Daphnia pulex: one gene and its partner. Each later gene encodes a partner of the first gene's protein in a complex. Links are inferred from orthologs where the notes say so. Each region holds a gene or a part of one and is shown in the gene's direction. Other genes may lie near its edges.

What was found.
Region 2: eukaryotic initiation factor 4A-III (region 1) and protein mago nashi homolog share a complex: the UniProt entries of both Drosophila melanogaster proteins name them as parts of the mRNA splicing-dependent exon junction complex. The link is inferred for Daphnia pulex from reciprocal best matches to the Drosophila melanogaster genes CG7483 and mago.

The regions. Positions count from the first base shown.
Region 1 is NC_060018.1:3,384,216-3,393,120, reverse strand, and holds eukaryotic initiation factor 4A-III, read left to right. Parts: upstream 1-6,319; 5' UTR 6,320-6,449; coding exon 6,450-6,597; intron 6,598-6,704; coding exon 6,705-6,907; intron 6,908-6,962; coding exon 6,963-7,095; intron 7,096-7,159; coding exon 7,160-7,293; intron 7,294-7,348; coding exon 7,349-7,437; intron 7,438-7,494; coding exon 7,495-7,633; intron 7,634-7,696; coding exon 7,697-7,812; intron 7,813-7,875; coding exon 7,876-8,111; intron 8,112-8,177; coding exon 8,178-8,194; 3' UTR 8,195-8,319; downstream 8,320-8,905. Other genes in the region: uncharacterized protein LOC124188409, read left to right, coding at 2,316-2,571, 2,638-2,855, 2,918-3,020, 3,083-3,229, 3,296-3,500, 3,570-3,801, 3,870-4,482, 4,557-5,185; 39S ribosomal protein L35, mitochondrial-like, read right to left, coding at 5,396-5,624, 5,676-5,783, 5,839-6,062; ATP synthase mitochondrial F1 complex assembly factor 2-like, read left to right, coding at 8,699-8,870. UniProt on the Drosophila melanogaster protein: ATP-dependent RNA helicase. Core component of the splicing-dependent multiprotein exon junction complex (EJC) deposited at splice junctions on mRNAs. Involved in exon definition of genes containing long introns, including the rolled/MAPK gene.
Region 2 is NC_060025.1:2,831,104-2,838,993, reverse strand, and holds protein mago nashi homolog, read left to right. Parts: upstream 1-3,989; 5' UTR 3,990-4,086; coding exon 4,087-4,177; intron 4,178-4,253; coding exon 4,254-4,312; intron 4,313-4,370; coding exon 4,371-4,564; intron 4,565-4,623; coding exon 4,624-4,723; 3' UTR 4,724-4,831; downstream 4,832-7,890. Other genes in the region: uncharacterized protein MCAP_0864-like, read right to left, coding at 2,096-3,460; eukaryotic initiation factor 4A-I-like, read left to right, coding at 5,614-5,636, 5,989-6,124, 6,189-6,455, 6,518-6,674, 6,744-6,853, 6,915-7,046, 7,109-7,428, 7,493-7,637. UniProt on the Drosophila melanogaster protein: Core component of the splicing-dependent multiprotein exon junction complex (EJC) deposited at splice junctions on mRNAs. Involved in exon definition of genes containing long introns, including the rolled/MAPK gene.

The DNA.
Region 1 (8,905 bases):
AAAATTGCACATTTATGGAAGTTGCCGGAATAGAATAGAAATAATTCCCTTATCTACAAAAAAAAAGAGGGGATAGGTTTGTTATATAAATCTTGGTCACTTTGGTTACTAATCAACGATTGGCTTTTTGAAGGGTTGCACTCCTCATTTGAATAACAAATATGGACAATAACGATGGTAGTATTTACACGTTAATCTTTTCGGTATTATTCGCTCAACTCTCTTTAGTGTAGAGAGGCATTGTCAACTGCAGTCCGTCCCTGGTTCTGTGTTTCAACTATGACGTCACCATCAAGCAAGAGCTTGGACAAAACAAAACATCTGCAACGGGGTGAAATGATGTACTGTTTGTCGAAAAGGCTCCGACTTGCAAGTCTCCACGCGCCAGAGAGCTGGGCAATCTCTGCAGTCCGGCCGGGGCTTCAAGTGATGGACGGTCGCCCGATCAAGTTATTCCTGTCGAGGGCCTGTTTTCAGCGCCATAAATCTACGTATTAATAATACTCTCTCATACGTTCCTCTATATGTGTTTATTATTCTCCCAGTTCGACTATTTTTTATTTTATTTTTTCCCCCCTCTCTCATTCCTCCTTTCGGTTAATCCTTCTGGCTCTCCGCCGGGATTTGGCGAGATATCATAACCCTTAGGACCCGAGTTGCTGCTGGTGAAAGGAGTTTACAATTGCATTGCGTCGATCCCATTCGGGCTTGTCACGCACTGTATATCAGACTGGGTTCTGTCTCCAGTTGAGCCACTCGACAACCCAATTATACTCTGAGTATATACTGTTTCAAATGTCGTCCAACAACAGAGGAAAACAAACTTGACTTATTTGAACGGAACAGCCTCATTCGTGCTGCTGCTGCGTTCTTCTTTTATTTATTTGCCTTCTTCAAATCCATTTTCTCGGCGGTTCCGCTTTACTTTCGATCTCTCTTCTTCTTTCTATATGACTAGACAGTTCCCAGGATGGATGGTATAAGACCTTGGCAATGTAACGATGAGCGTTGTCCAAAATCAATTACCGGCTACAGATGTTAAGAAATTTGTGAGCGAATAGCTTTCCAGTTACAATGTGCAGGCTACACAAATAACAAGCCTGGCCGAGATTGCAATTGGGTCATCATTCGTGCTGCTCCGTCTTCTAGATCCCGTCTCTGCAGAAAATGCTTGAGTTTCCAAAATGTTTTCGAAATGCTATGTCTTTGTCTTGAAATGTCATTATTTCGTTTTATTGCGTGATTGTCCTGGAAGAAAGTTGTGCGGGAGAAGGAAAAACAAAAAGTTGAAAAGGACAATGGGGTATTAATAGTTGTTCGTGCTGCTCTTCGTCCACTAGTTTCGTGGCGATCTGCATTCACAAGAGTATACCTCCACACGGACGATTTACATACTACATCTAGATTCAATTTGTCGTCTAGAAGAAGGTTCGGACTGGCTGTGCAGCAAAAGATATTGCCCAGTTCGGCATTCGTGAATAACTTCAGGGACAGTGGTCACTACTAAGGGCTCGGAAAGGAAAACTTGATAGATTAATTACTAGGACTCACCAATTTATAGTTATTGGTAAATACAATTATTTAGATTTTAATTAGCTACAGAGCATATCCGGATCGCGCCATAGGGGACGTAAACGTCACAGACAGGCTACGGTAAACATCTGGTAAACATCTGATAGGATTGGCGATGCCATCAAGTGAATGAGAATGACACTACTTTAGATTCGCTTTGGCAACATAAAATTATACCGCAACCTCTTTATTGATTTAGCATTGTGAGCTGAGTGACTGAGTCTGACGTATTCGATGGTCGTATTCAAGGACCTCTGACTTTCATGGATCCTGTGGCAACTGCGTGGCCTGCGTCATTTCTTTGTCATTTATTTATATTCGTACAGGCTAACTGCATTGAATAATTTCGGTAGGATATTAACGGTGGTGAGCTGGTGCCGATGCACTTTATTTAATAAGGGGCTGCGAGCCTGCGACAGTCTTCAGCATTTTTTATTTTTTTTTAATTTGTTAAAATTTGTGTGTCATAATTTACTTGACTGGCATCGTTGCACTTGCACTGTTTATCCTGCTGCTCCATCCATCATTTGAATCGTCTGTACTTTCTGTACTCTGTAAACGTAATCGCTATCTTGAAAGCAAAGCACATGGTTCGATTATTTGTAGACTAAATTTTTGATTGGGTTGTATGGATTTTTTACTTACTCATATAACTGAATTGATCCAATTGATTTCAAGAAAAGTTTTATGATTTTCCCTTCACTACGTGTTGAAGAAGATTTATTTAGTATCTTCCTGTAAATATGAATTGCCAATTGCCCCACAATATATGGAGATCTCGTACATTTGAGAGAAAAGGCTACCACGATCGTGATGCAACTAATGAGGATCAGTTTAATTTTGATTCCTATATTACCTGTCCAAGAATCAGTTTCTTAGAAAATGGTCTCTTGCGTAACAATACAGTAGAGAACTGGCCTGATTTGATGGATTTGGATGAACACATTACACTGCCTACACCATTGCTACCACCTAATGCTTCTGTAAAATGTGGAAGAGGTAAATGTGGAACTTGTTTGGCAACTAGCGTAAGCTGTTTTTATTAACATTTTATTCCATCATTAGGTCCTGTTGTACGAAGTGTAAGCAAAAAGGATGAGCTCAATCACTTTTTATTCAAAGAAACTCTTGCACATGAATGCAGACTGCTCATAAGAAACAGCAAAGGTGAAATTAATCTAAGTACATTAAAAAATAATTGGAAAAAGTTTATCAAGAGAAATGAAATTCCTGAACCTGAAAGAAATTTAGTAACAATTATGGACAGATATGGATGTGATGAGGTATTCAATTTAAATAGTCTCCAAATTATGTTCTAATCATTCGAATTTTGTTTTCATTTTAGCCTCCAACAGAAACATATGCAGGTGGAAATTTAGCTATTGTGTGGTTGCAAAATGAAAGATATTTAGTACACTCAGCGATGGAACCATTTGATTGTCAGATGTGTAAGAATTATATCATGTTGTGTATTTATTGCAGCCAGTTTTAATTTATCTGCCCATTTTAGGTTTGACTCGAATGACGGCAGATGACATGAAGAATCATCCCTTGGAATCCGTGAGTACAAAAACGCCATTCAATGATGGAACGGTGTACCAAATAGCTGTTCCCCGCCAAAGTGGTTGTTGGGATCCATCTTTTCAGCAACAAAACGGTACAACTATTGGTGTGTTATTTGCATTAAATAGATGTGTATCATATCGATTGTCTGTGTATGAAGAAGATCCTCTATTTGCGACACGTCAGTTTCATACGACACGATTGTGGAAGGTTGAACAGAGGGAAACGGGAAGTCTGCCCATCATTACCAATGTGCAAGAGTGTTCCGACCCGTCTTCTACTGTGCGTTACGTCGAATTCAATCAGTTTGATTGTGGAGAGTTTTGTGAGTTGCGCTCTCAAGAAATTAAGATTTCAGAAAGAGGGTAAGGTTTAGCCGTTTAATCAATGTTCACAAATTTGTTTATTTTAAAAATTCATTCTGATGCTTACAGGTTATTAAAATATCAAAGAGCAGTGTATAAAAAGTACGACAGTTGTGTGTACGTGAACCATAAGATACTTCTCTTTAGTTCCAGTCGTACACTTGACTTACTCGACGTCCGGTGTAAAAATACAGAGAATTTACAGCCTATTTTCTCCATTGATGATCAAGGAATGCGGTTGTTTTATAACATGCCTCCACTCGAAACAATTGTTAGCTGTTCAGCAAGCTCTCGTGATAACGTAAGTGAAATTTATAATTAATTTTACTTTAGTTGGGATATTTAATAACCTACAACCACTTTTTGCAGGTTTATCTAATATCTACCGGGAAATCACTTCTAGTCTGGGATATAAGATGTGGAAGCCGCCTACTACATCGGGCGGAACACCTACTTGAAAGCCCTCCCGATTGGATTTCGACTGTTCAACTCGGCCCTGATAAAGATTGGATTTTCCTCGACTCTCAGAACCCTGCTTCATCTGGAATGGTCGGTCTGAGCTGGAACAACCAAGAAAATTGTCTAGATTTAATGAACGATTTGCCGGTTGTTTCTGTTGAATTTGAACCGAGAATACGTTGGAGTGTCCTCGACACCTTTGGAGCTATCCAGCAACGAGGTCTAGGACTCGATTGGTCAATCCAAAATCGTTTTAAGCAAATGCGGAGTGGAATTGCTTGTGACAAAGATAGTGATGGAACAATTCAAATCTGGCAGTGTACTGTTGCCGGTGACTTATTTTCTCAGCAGTTGAACCCAAGTAAAAGAATAGGACCTAGTGAGCAAAAAGCTTCGCATCTTTTCTTCAGTCAGCTGAGCGATTGGACCGAAGCTGTTGAGCAGATTGAGGAATTGAACGCCTCGTTATCACAAAATCTATTTGATCAAACCGAAGAGTGTGACGCAGAAAAACTTAAAGACAGTAATAATTACATAAAGCTAAATCACGTTATTCAATTTTAAATAACTGTGAATACAATTGATGACAATTTTTAGGTATACAGAAAACTTCAGAAGAAGTGGAAGAAGAAAACTTTGGGAGTTTCCATATGCCGGCAATATTTAATCACAAATATACTTCAATGCCTGACGCCCTTGAAATGGACTGCCCTGAGGACAAAACACGAAACATCGATGGGCAAGGCGCAGGTCTCAACAAGGAGTGGATGGAAGAAAGAAATCCTGGGCCATGTTCCCAGAATTTCTTACCAGATGACACGTTCGCGTTAGACTTCCAGGATGACCTCATCTCATCTACACCCTTTCAACCGATGCAAAAGACACACGGGGCTGCACCTTTACCTGGCTTTCTCATATCTTCAACCCCTGCAATACGCGCAGTCAAACCCAATTGTTTTCCTTCGCCTAAGCGTAATCTTACCTCGACTCCATTTCGACACCAAACCCCTCAAACCCCTCAAACCTGGAACGCTCCATCTCAGTATCAAGCCCCTCAAAACTGGAACGCTCCATCTCAGCATCAAACGCCTCAAAACTGGAACGCTCCATCTCAGCATCAAACCCCTCAAAACTGGAACGCTCCATCTCAGCATCAAACCCCTCAAAACTGGAACGCTCCATCTCAGCGAAAAAGTGTTAAAAGGACTCAGGAATGGGACTTTTAAATCCCCCACCCCCTGATATTATGTAACAGTTTTTCAAATTTCTTCTGTTCATGTACTCAAAGATAACACTTCAGTAATACATTTCAGTTCAAGTTAAATATGGTTAAGATATTTGTACAACCAATATTTTTTAACATTGGAATGAAATAAATACAATAAATTTCCTTTTCCATTATTTGAATGTATTTGAACTAGTATTAATTATAGACCTCAATGAGGTTTAACAGCACTTGATGGATACTCTTCTCGCTGATGATACGACTCGTACATGTCATCAACGTAAAACCGTCTCTTTCTCCAGTATTTCGTTACCATTTTGTCAAGAAGAGTTGACTGGGTAGCATTACAAAATACATGCTTTTCACCCCGAATCTTCCTTTTTGCTGTTTTGCTCCAGTGACGTTTACTGTGTCCCACCATTGGCCTTATCCATGCACCCCTAAGAAAACATAATGAATATAAATAACCAGGAATGAATAAAATATATTACCATCCTAAACGATAGAACCTAGAAACAACAGCTTTAACTGTTTTGCGCTTCCCTTTTTTGAGTGACCATTTTGTAACTGATCGGGTTTGCTGCAAAGAGGGAGTAGTTCTGCAAGAAAGTAAGCTTAATTTGTGTGCTTAATAAAATTTAAATTCTTGCTTACAATGACAGATTTTGAAGCAATGGGGAAATAGATGATAATATACTTGGGGTAGCATTCATGGAAGGGTATTGGACACACCGAAAAGTTGATTCTGACGAACCCGAAAAAAACCTTGATGTGCTAGGCAGCAAAATTTTTGCTTTGACTGAAACGACATTTTTAGAAATTGGTGAATAATTCGCCAATCGAAAAGCCGATTGAATAACGTTTTTCAAAGTAAACATTTTAGATTTTTATTTTTCTTGAATCGGGAGAAAATTATTTTCAGTGTTCGTTCGTCTGCTTAATTGAATCTTTTCATGCACGATATCGATATACAAATTACAAAGGCCAGGTCTTTAAAAGGTTTTTAGCAACTTTCATTGATTTTTATTAAATTAAAAATTAAATTAGTTTCAAATTTTAGTGGATCATGAATCATTACTTTTAAGTTGTAAATTTTTGCTTTGAAACCATGAGTATGAAAATTTGGCAACACAGTTGACTCCATGTTGAAGCGATTTTAACGTCTGTAACATTCATTCTATAGCATCCTTTCACCCTTGCCGAACGGACGCAAACTAATTATTCACGAACTATCGTGCTTTTTCACACTTCTGATTTCTAAAAAAATGGAGTCTAAAGGCAGACGTGTTGTCCAACAGATGCCGGATGATTTAACTAATATTGAATTTGAAACGAGTGAAGATGTCAATGTTATTCCCACATTTGACAGCATGGGCCTCCGTGAAGACCTGCTAAGAGGAATTTACGCTTATGGTACGTACAAATGAGACTTTCACTTGTTGAGACCTTGCTCCATTATTCACATTATCCTTAACCTACATGATTTTTAATGTTGAGGTTGGCTTTAAATGTTTCTATAGGATTTGAAAAACCATCAGCTATTCAGCAGAGAGCAATTGCCCCAGTAATCAAGGGGAGAGACGTTATTGCCCAAGCCCAATCCGGTACTGGCAAAACAGCCACATTTTCAATTTCAATTCTTCAGAGTCTTGAAATTCAAACAAGAGAAACTCAAATATTGGTTCTAAGCCCCACTCGAGAGTTGGCAGTTCAAATTCAGAAAGTATGTTATGGCATTACTTTCTGTAGTACAGTGTTTTCATTTAGCTTGTGTTTAGGTTATTCTGGCTCTTGGTGATTACATGAATGTTCAATGCCATGCGTGTATCGGCGGCACTAATGTTGGAGAGGATGTTCGAAAATTGGACTACGGTCAGCACATTGTTTCTGGAACCCCTGGACGTGTATTTGGTATATTTTGCTATTTCTGTTTGTTAAGTTTGGATTGATGATAAGTGTCTTGATAACTCTACAGATATGATTCGCCGACGTACACTAAGGACACGTTCAATTAAAATGTTGGTCCTGGATGAAGCCGATGAAATGTTAAATAAAGGGTTCAAGGAGCAAATTTACGATGTCTACCGTTACCTTCCTCCAGCAACCCAAGTATGTTTTATGATATTTCATAAGAAAAACCAATTAAATCAATCTTTTATTCAAGGTGGTTCTTCTTTCAGCCACATTGCCTCATGAAATCTTGGAGATGACCAGCAAATTCATGACAGATCCCATTCGCATTTTAGTCAAACGGTAAACGTTGTTAAAAGTCTGCTTGTTTTTTATTACTAATTATTTTATGTGGTTTAGTGATGAGTTGACACTCGAAGGAATCAAACAGTTCTTTGTCGCTGTCGAAAGAGAAGAATGGAAGTTTGACACGTTGTGCGATCTGTACGACACACTGACAATCACGCAGGCGGTTATTTTTTGTAATACTAAACGCAAGGTTAGTCACGATTAAATCTCTTCTATTGTTGATTTCGATGTAACACAGTTAGATTGATTTTAGGTTGACTGGTTGACGGAGAAAATGCGTGAAGCGAATTTTACCGTTTCTTCAATGCACGGAGACATGCCTCAAAAAGAGCGTGATACTATTATGAAAGAATTCCGTAATGGTCAGAGGTATTGAAATTTTCGTCTACCATATAACCATTCAGAGTAATAACAATTATTCGTTTATTCTAGCCGAGTTCTTATTACAACTGACGTTTGGGCTCGTGGTATTGATGTTCAACAAGTTTCGTTGGTCATTAACTACGATCTCCCTAACAACCGTGAGTTGTACATCCATCGTATCGGTCGTTCTGGCCGATTCGGACGTAAAGGTGTTGCAATTAACTTTGTCAAGAATGACGATATCCGTATTCTCCGCGATATCGAACAGTACTATGCTACACAGGTTGACGAAATGCCCATGAATGGTAAAATATTTTTAGCATGTTTTTTTTTAACTCTTTCTAAATGTGTTTGTTTTTAATCAATTTCAGTGGCTGACCTCATTTAATCTATAATCCATTTCGGAAAAAGGAAAACAAAGAAGTTGATGCGTCATGTTTTTATTTTGCTGGATTTTTTTTTTCTGTATCCCCGAAGATTTGGACTAAATATATGAAACTTGTGGCCGTTTAATTAATTGTCTTGTTCCATTGTTGGAGTCTAAAAATGACGTCTACTTTACTCGTAGATCTGAAGTAATATATGAACCTTTTGCTCATGAGTTATGACTTATTGACTTATGAGTTATGACACAGTATTTATAATAAGGCATGTTGATTTTTTTTACTCACTTTGAAAATACTTGCGACAATTCGAAACCAGTATTTGAAGGACGTTCCAAATTCCAATTACAAAGTTAGATTTGTTGTATCTCTAGTAGCTGAACAAAAGCTAGAAACTAGCTGAAAACTTGGTTGCTGAAACCCAGTACCCCACATTTCCTTTTTTCTGTTTGAAAACAGTTTTGGTCTGCTACAGTTCGAAGCACCCGGTTGTTGCTTGTTGGTGGGTGATGAAATCATTTGTCACCTCGTCAACAATGTCTTTTTCAACTAATAATTTAATACGTTTTGGCTCCGGCACTTCTAATTTATTGAGAATACTTGGTAATAATCAAATAGGAGCTGGAAACGGTGTTACTAGTCGATCCATTCAATTGTCGTCAGGAGATCAATCATCTTTGGGTATTTCATTTTACACCTCGTTAATCAAATTACGA
Region 2 (7,890 bases), on another chromosome or scaffold:
TAATACGGACTTTGCTATTTGTCCCCCGCGCAAGACCTTTGAATTATTGACCAGTTCCGGATCAATAACTATTGCGGATGAGTAGTATATTATGAATGAATTTTGAGCAATGAGTTTTCGGGCTTTCTCCTGATGGGTGCACGCAGGTGCAGCCAAATCTCATTATCAGTTTGAATAGATTATATGATTTTCTTTGCGGGAAATCGTATTACACACAAAGGGGGTGGAATCACGCAAAGTGTTTCAAGGCGATAATTATGAGCTTGCTCAATTCATTCATCGTTATGTATTTGTTCCGATTGAGGTATACTATAGTGATTACTTTGTTAGTGAGACAGACCCGTATGATGTTACCGACCGTTTTGAGCAAGACAGGTAGACAAATCTATTTCGTGACATTAGATAAACGTGTGTATATAGTATGCTAAAGGTGAAAGAACATTTGTTTCGCAGTAGCTGCTGTTGACCAATGTTTCGATTTGACATCGAACCGGTATAACCGAATATCTATAATATCTTTGTGAAGTGACGAAATTTAACCTTTCTTTATCTTTTTCTCATATGAAAACTTTTTACCGTGTTTTACGCATCAGAACCCGGCTAAGATCACGGTTCAAGATTTTGAAATACAGAAATGGAATCTTGTACAAATAATATAATGTTCGTTGGACCGGATTTCTTTCCGCAAATAAAAGACGTCACCTCTTTGGTGAATCAATTTCCCGATAGTGATTCTACATATGTCCTAGACGAAACTGTCCCTTCCACCATTCGATAAAATGGCGCTGTCCTCACAATATTTTATTTTAAAAAAATTAAAAATATAATTTATGTGACAATGAGACAGGGAAGATGATCGCCACTCAAATTTCTTTCAAAATAAATAAAAACAAAGATAGAAGATTTGCGCAAGTCAGGGAGCCTTTGTTTAAGTAAACACAAATGTACCATTGTACCTAGTGTGAATGTTAACCGTCAGCTTTAGTTTTGGAAGGGTGGGCGACATTAGATGGCGCGTCTCTTAAGTCATCGGTCAGACCGCGTTCACGACCAAGTCATTATGCATAAGAGAAATATCGTGATAAATTAACTTTGGGACTCTCAGGTTAATTTTTAAAAATATGGCAACACCTTAAATCTGCCACTGTTTACCAAAAATTTTAAAATCAAGGGAGGAACTTAAGTGAGGATGTAATCAAAAATGGCAGATTGAAATCGTTGAAATATCCTTTTTTTAAAATCTATAGCCTTCTTCAGTCAAACTGGTAATGGGCGGTGTTTGTATAGTTGTACAATCCCCGTGTCCAGAAGCTTGATGAGGAAACAAGAGAAGTAACTGACAACTTCTGCTGCCAAGCTGCACAGCCAGCCATCTCCACCGTAAACGCACGTCAAGAACAGGTCAAGAAGTGTGATAGACTCATTTAAAAAGGGTAATATTAAACCCCCCAGAAAATTATGAATAGCACATACCATCGAATTTAAGTACATACTACCATAAATGATGAGGAATAAGAAAAGGTCAAACAACACGATTGAGATTATATATGGGACAGAACCCGATTTATTGAGAAAAAGAACGAATGAAAAAAAAATTAAAAAACCGAAGCTAATAATGAAAGAAACTGAACCAGCCCTACAATCGATAATGGTCAACTTGCTCGGCTGTCTCCATCGTAACTTACCGTAAAGAATTGGTGGACTCATTTAAGGGTAATTAAACCCCCTGTCAAGGTAGTCAAATGTTACACTGACATGTAGGGTGAGGACAACCTACTTCTCTGACTGTTAGAGGAGTTGTATTGTGTAAGCACTTTCGTACTTCCCAATGACAAATCATCTTGTGCAGTTCAAAGTATATTCAGAAGTCCCCACGCACAACAGCGACACACCAACTCCATTGACAGGTTCACCCACCATTCCCTTCCGGATTGTTACGAGGAGGGAGCGTCATCACAAATCAACAAATATCAATCGCAAGACTGACATTCAGCTTCTAACATTACTTAACTTCGGTAAAAAAACACAAAAAAACAAAAACCAAATCAACTGCAACTCATCCAAAGAAAATCGAAGATTAAACATAAGGGCGGCTTTAATTCCTGTAACGTTTCCGTTCTTCAAACGCTTTATAATCCCACATTTTCTTCTCTGTTTTCTTGATCTCCGTCATGTCTAACCAGCTGTCGTATTGGTACCGAAGTCTCGGTTCTATTAATAAGTCCTTTGCACGATTAAGTGCCTGGCTTAGTCGGTTTGCCTTCATCAACGCTTTTTCAACATCATCTGTTTGTATCTGATTGACCTTGTCCGGATGGGCTTGTAGAATTTTCTCTTTGTAGGACTTCATGATTTTTTCGTCGGTGTCTGTCCTTTTCACGTTCAGAATCTTGTAGTAATCTGGTAGCGCGTAAGAGCTGAGCTCTAGTTCGTCCACAGTGTCGTTCAATTCGCAGTTTTTCTGTGTCAACTCGGCAACCCTAGACTCCAGCTGCATCAAGTGTTCGTTTTGTTCATCGATTACTTTTGAATACCTCGTATCCATTTCTTCCATCTCAGTGCGGTGGTTTTCTTCGCATTCATCAATTATAGAGTACAACTCTGAGATAATTTCTTCAAGTTCATTGTTTTTGCAGTTTCTGTTGTTAAGCAAAGTTTGGTAGTATTGTCGAATTTTTCCGACGCTTTCCTGGTGGTCGCTTTCTAACTCCTGGATTTTCTTCTTTGACAAGGCTTTTTCTTCCTCAAGTTCTTTTGCTTTGCTGTCTAGTTGGAGGACAAGCTTTTCGTTTGCGCTTTGAAGAATATTACGGGCAGCGTGGAACCCTCTCATCTTTCGTTGCATAGATGTATTATGAGCGCATATCTTTTTGTACTGATCTTCAAGTTCCTCAATCCTGTTATCAACGACCGTCGTAGGAAGTTGCACATCCACGGTTTGAGTCGACTTATCCTCCTGTTCCGGGACTAGTATCACGTTGTTCTGTGCTAGTGCGGACTTGGTGTTGGCAGGATTAAAATCATCAACGTCGTCGACATTCAGTGCTGATTGGTTGTTCTTCAGGTGCGAGATGGTTTTCTCGAAGTTGGTGATGTCTCGATTTTTGGCATACAGTTCACACCTGGTAGAAATTAGCTCGTCACGTACCTCGTCATGTTCTGAGCTCAACGTGGAAAGTTCAAGTTTCAGTTGGATAACTTGATTTGCCAAACGTTCATTGTCTCTTTTCAACTTGCCATTCTCCTCTGTTTGGAATTGCTCATCGGGAATGCTGGTTGTTGTTAGCATTTCCGAATCCACTGTGAGCCGCTGTCTGGTGTCTTGACAAACTTCCGGTTCAACATCGACGCTGTTTGGGTATTCAGCTGATGAATGCTGATTTTTGGTACTAGGAGAAGATTTTTCGGTAAAATATTTCACCCAAACCCAAATCACAACGATTTCCAATAAAAGACCCATCTCGAAATATCTGCTGAAAACTTTTGTAAACCAAAACTACTAAGCAGTCTTATTATCTGTTGGCGTTGACTTGGGCTTTATATAACCTGCCATGGGAATCATTACTTATGCAGGGCTGTTTTTTCCTTCTTTTTCTTTCACCTCTTATTAGGTTTTTTCTTTTTAACATTCGTACTGAACTTAAATCATAGTTTATAAATTTGCGCATGTTATTCAATTAGTGTGAAGTTGATTGAAAATAACTATCAACTCTTTTTTTCCATTTTAAAACTCAGCATTGTGCTCGAGAAAAGTCGAGATTACGGTTTGCCTGGTTTGAAAATGCGACAGAGCGCCTGGGCGGTAAATTTGCAAACTAAATAACTTGTCTAAACTTGAATTCGTCGATGAAATTTATTCGGTAAATTAGTCAAATCGTCAAATTACCAAGTATATTTATTAAATTTGAGTTAAAACCCGGTTTAAACCACCATGGTTTTTTACACTGCAAAGCGAACGACATTGTAAAATGTGTTTAGGGATGAATGTTTCGGCTTGTTTTGGAGAGGGGGTAACCAGCAGTAGAACACAAGCGAGTAGCGTGGGTTGTTTCACTGAAATTTACAAATCGTAATTTATTACACAAAATGCCGAAAAGCGAGTTTTATTTACGATATTATGTTGGGCACAAGGGAAAATTCGGCCACGAGTTTCTCGAGTTTGAATTTAGGCCTGATGGTAACTAAATATCATGTTATTTGATGTCACATTTGCACCTTTCACTAAATACCGGGTCGTCCTAATTTCTTTTTAGGCAAACTGAGATACGCCAATAATTCCAATTATAAAAATGACACCATGATCAGAAAAGAGGTAATTTCAACAAGATATATGTTTATCAAGATCTGCAACATTTGATTTCTTTCTTTAGGCATATGTTCATCAAAGTGTTTTGAATGAGTTGAAACGAGTTATCGAAGACTCTGAAATTCTTCAAGAAGATGATTCCCTGTGGCCAACTCCTGATCGTGTTGGAAGACAAGAGCTTGAAATTGTCATGGGAGATGAACACATTTCATTCTCAACATCAAAGATTGGCTCCCTTGTAGATGTCAATCAATCAAAGTAAATCTATATTATTTTGAAACCAGTAAATTAGTTTAATTTCCCTTAATATTTTACAGAGATGCTGATGGATTACGTGCATTTTACTATCTGGTCCAGGATTTGAAGTGTCTCGTGTTCTCTCTCATTGGTCTCCACTTCAAGATCAAACCCATTTAAAGATTTTGACTGTGATGTGTATTGTCAAATGTCAATTTTCCATCTAACTATCCCATATGGTGTATGATTTTTTTTTGTCCAAGTAATAAAAAAGGATTTCTTGAAGAATTTTGTTTTAGTACTCAAACATGACAAAGTGTAGTGTATTCATGAACATATATTCTTTTTATAATCAGACAAAAATGAAAAGTGAAGGATACTGATTTTTGACAACAGAAGGGTGTTAATTTGGGTGTGTAATGTTATCAATAGAAACCCTGGAGGATGAAAGCCGTTGTTTATAGATTTTTCATGAGCTATCTTGTTCGAGATATCTACATTACGGGACCTCGCTAGAATGTAGAATGAATATGATTAAAAAACCGGTTAAACGTCCTTGCGAATAGGAAAGATCGATTTTACGCAACAAATGCACGAGACCTGGCGATACTGGCTTATGGCATTTCTTGTAAATGCGTAAATAAAACTAACTGGCCTACTTTTTTCCAACATATTTTGCAATACTTTCAACTGAATTATTTCCTCAAATATTTTCCGAACCGTTAAATGAAATGAGTCAATGTCAATGACACATCACATCCCACGCTATTTAAATGTCCTAAGCTCTCTCCCCTGCCTACACTGAAAATGTTAACAACTAACTGAAATAGATACAATTTGACCTTAAATTTTAAATTTTATGATTTCCAAATCATTTAGTAATGGAACCAAGTTTAATTCACTTTCTTTAAAAAAAAGTTAAGTAAAATAAACTTGTCAAGTTCAACCTGAGCAATGTGTGTTTAGGGTAGGTGTGTTGCAAAAGAAATTGCCTACCCTAGGTTTCCATTCCTTTGCTTCCGTTTTGCGGATCGTTCTGCCTTTACGTTTTTTTGGCTGTCTGTTGAAACATGTCATACTCGAACGATAACAGGTACTGCTGCCGATTTCGTGGTTTATTTGTCTTTTTCGTGTCGTTTAAGTTTCCAAAGATACGTCCTTAGTCGCTTTAATTAGTGCTGTTACTCTGGAATTTATTAGATCAGTCATTCCTTGAGAGTTAAACGTTAAAATTTGGGATTTTGTCACGAGTGCCCCGGCTGGTACATCATGGCGGCGTGGGGTTGATTCATTTTTTGCTAAATGCTTTAACTGAATTAATATGGAGTTATTTTATTGTGTCCTGTAGTAATATTCATTGTGATAGTTGTAATCATGTGGTTTCATTTAACATTCTATGGTCTTCCACATATGCAAGTTAACTCATTCTGAAATGTCTGTTTCAGGGAAGAGAATTGGAGCGGGAAGGCTCCCAAGAATGGGACTGAAGAACGTCCTGAAGGAGAGGCTGAGGACCGTGGAAACTATGATGGCCCACCAGGCATGGACCCTGACGGTGTCATTGAGTCCAACTGGGATAAAGTGAGTTCAAGGACACCAGAATCTCAAGTAGCATCGTAACATGAAACATTACTTTTTTTTACAGATTGTGGACAACTTCGATGAGATGAAGTTGAAGGAGAAGCTGCTGCGTGGTATCTATGCTTATGGTTTTGAGCGTCCCTCTGCCATTCAGCAGCGTGCCATCTTGCCCTGTATTATGGGTCATGATGTTATTGCTCAAGCCCAGTCTGGTACCGGCAAGACGGCGACTTTCGCCATCTCGTTGTTGCAGCAGATTGACATCGATGCCAATGAATGTCAGGCGCTCGTGTTGGCTCCCACTCGCGAGTTGGCCCAGCAGATTCAGAAAGTATGAGTCAAGTGGTTATGGGTTGAGTGAACTTGGATTTTAAACAGATTTCAACAACTTAGGTCGTTTTGGCCCTTGGTGACTACATGGATGCGCAATGCCACGCTTGCATTGGTGGAACCAATGTTCGTGAAGATCTTCGCAAACTGTCACAAGGTGTCCACGTCGTCGTTGGAACTCCAGGTCGTGTCTTCGACATGATCAACCGACGAGCATTGAGTAAGTCCATGATACCATCTTCTTCATTGTGTGCATTCGTTCATTGAAATTCTTTTCACAAATATTCAGAGACGAATTGCATCAAAGTCTTCGTGTTGGATGAAGCCGATGAAATGTTGTCTCGTGGTTTCAAGGATCAGATTTATGATGTTTTCAAGAATTTGCCCGCTGAAGTGCAGGTGAGTGAAAATGGCGAGTTAAAATACGTATAGAGTATCAATTTCGACTAATTTATCATAGGTCATTCTGCTTTCGGCCACGATGCCGGCTGATGTCATGGAAGTAACGAATCACTTCATGCGTAACCCCATCCGAATTCTCGTCAAGAAGGAGGAACTGACGCTTGAAGGTATCAAGCAGTTCTACGTCCAGGTAATGAGATTACAGTCTTTTTTATTTTTCATGAGCTCAAAGTGACACCGAGTGTTGATTAGGTTGAACGCGAAGAGTGGAAGTTGGACACGTTGTGCGACTTGTACGATACGTTGAGTATTACTCAGGCCGTCATCTTCTGCAACACTCGCAGGAAAGTCGACTGGCTTACAGAGAAGATGCACGAGAGGGATTTCACCGTTTCTGCCATGCACGGTGAGATGGAGCAGAAGGAGCGTGACGTTATTATGCGCGAGTTCCGATCTGGTTCGTCCCGCGTCTTGATCACCACCGATCTCCTGGCTCGTGGTATTGACGTCCAGCAGGTTTCCCTCGTGATCAACTACGATTTGCCCAACCATCGTGAAAACTACATCCACAGGTAAAATGAGGTTTGCTCGATGCGAAATTGTATTTGATATAATGGAAATTGTTTTTCTCTTCAGAATTGGTCGTGGTGGACGATTTGGTCGCAAAGGTGTGGCCATTAACTTCGTGACGGAGGAGGATTGGCGCGTGCTTCGCGACATTGAACAGTACTACAATACTACGATTGAGGCTATGCCCATGAACGTGGCCGACCTCATCTAAAACAAACAGAAAGAGACGATTTGTTTGCCCTTGTGCATCTTGGCCTGTGAGTATTTCGGAAAACTGCACCGGCTAAATCTCGGAAAACGATTCTTTTTGCAAAACGACTAGACGATAATTGAAAACAAAAAAGTTTGTGCTGCTGCTGTTGTTGGCGCACTCTCTATCACTCTCTCCTCTATACCCCCCAAACAAACAAAAACGCGAGCTATTGAAGATTTGAAAAGGCTTTCAACCAAGACCTTAACAAGCT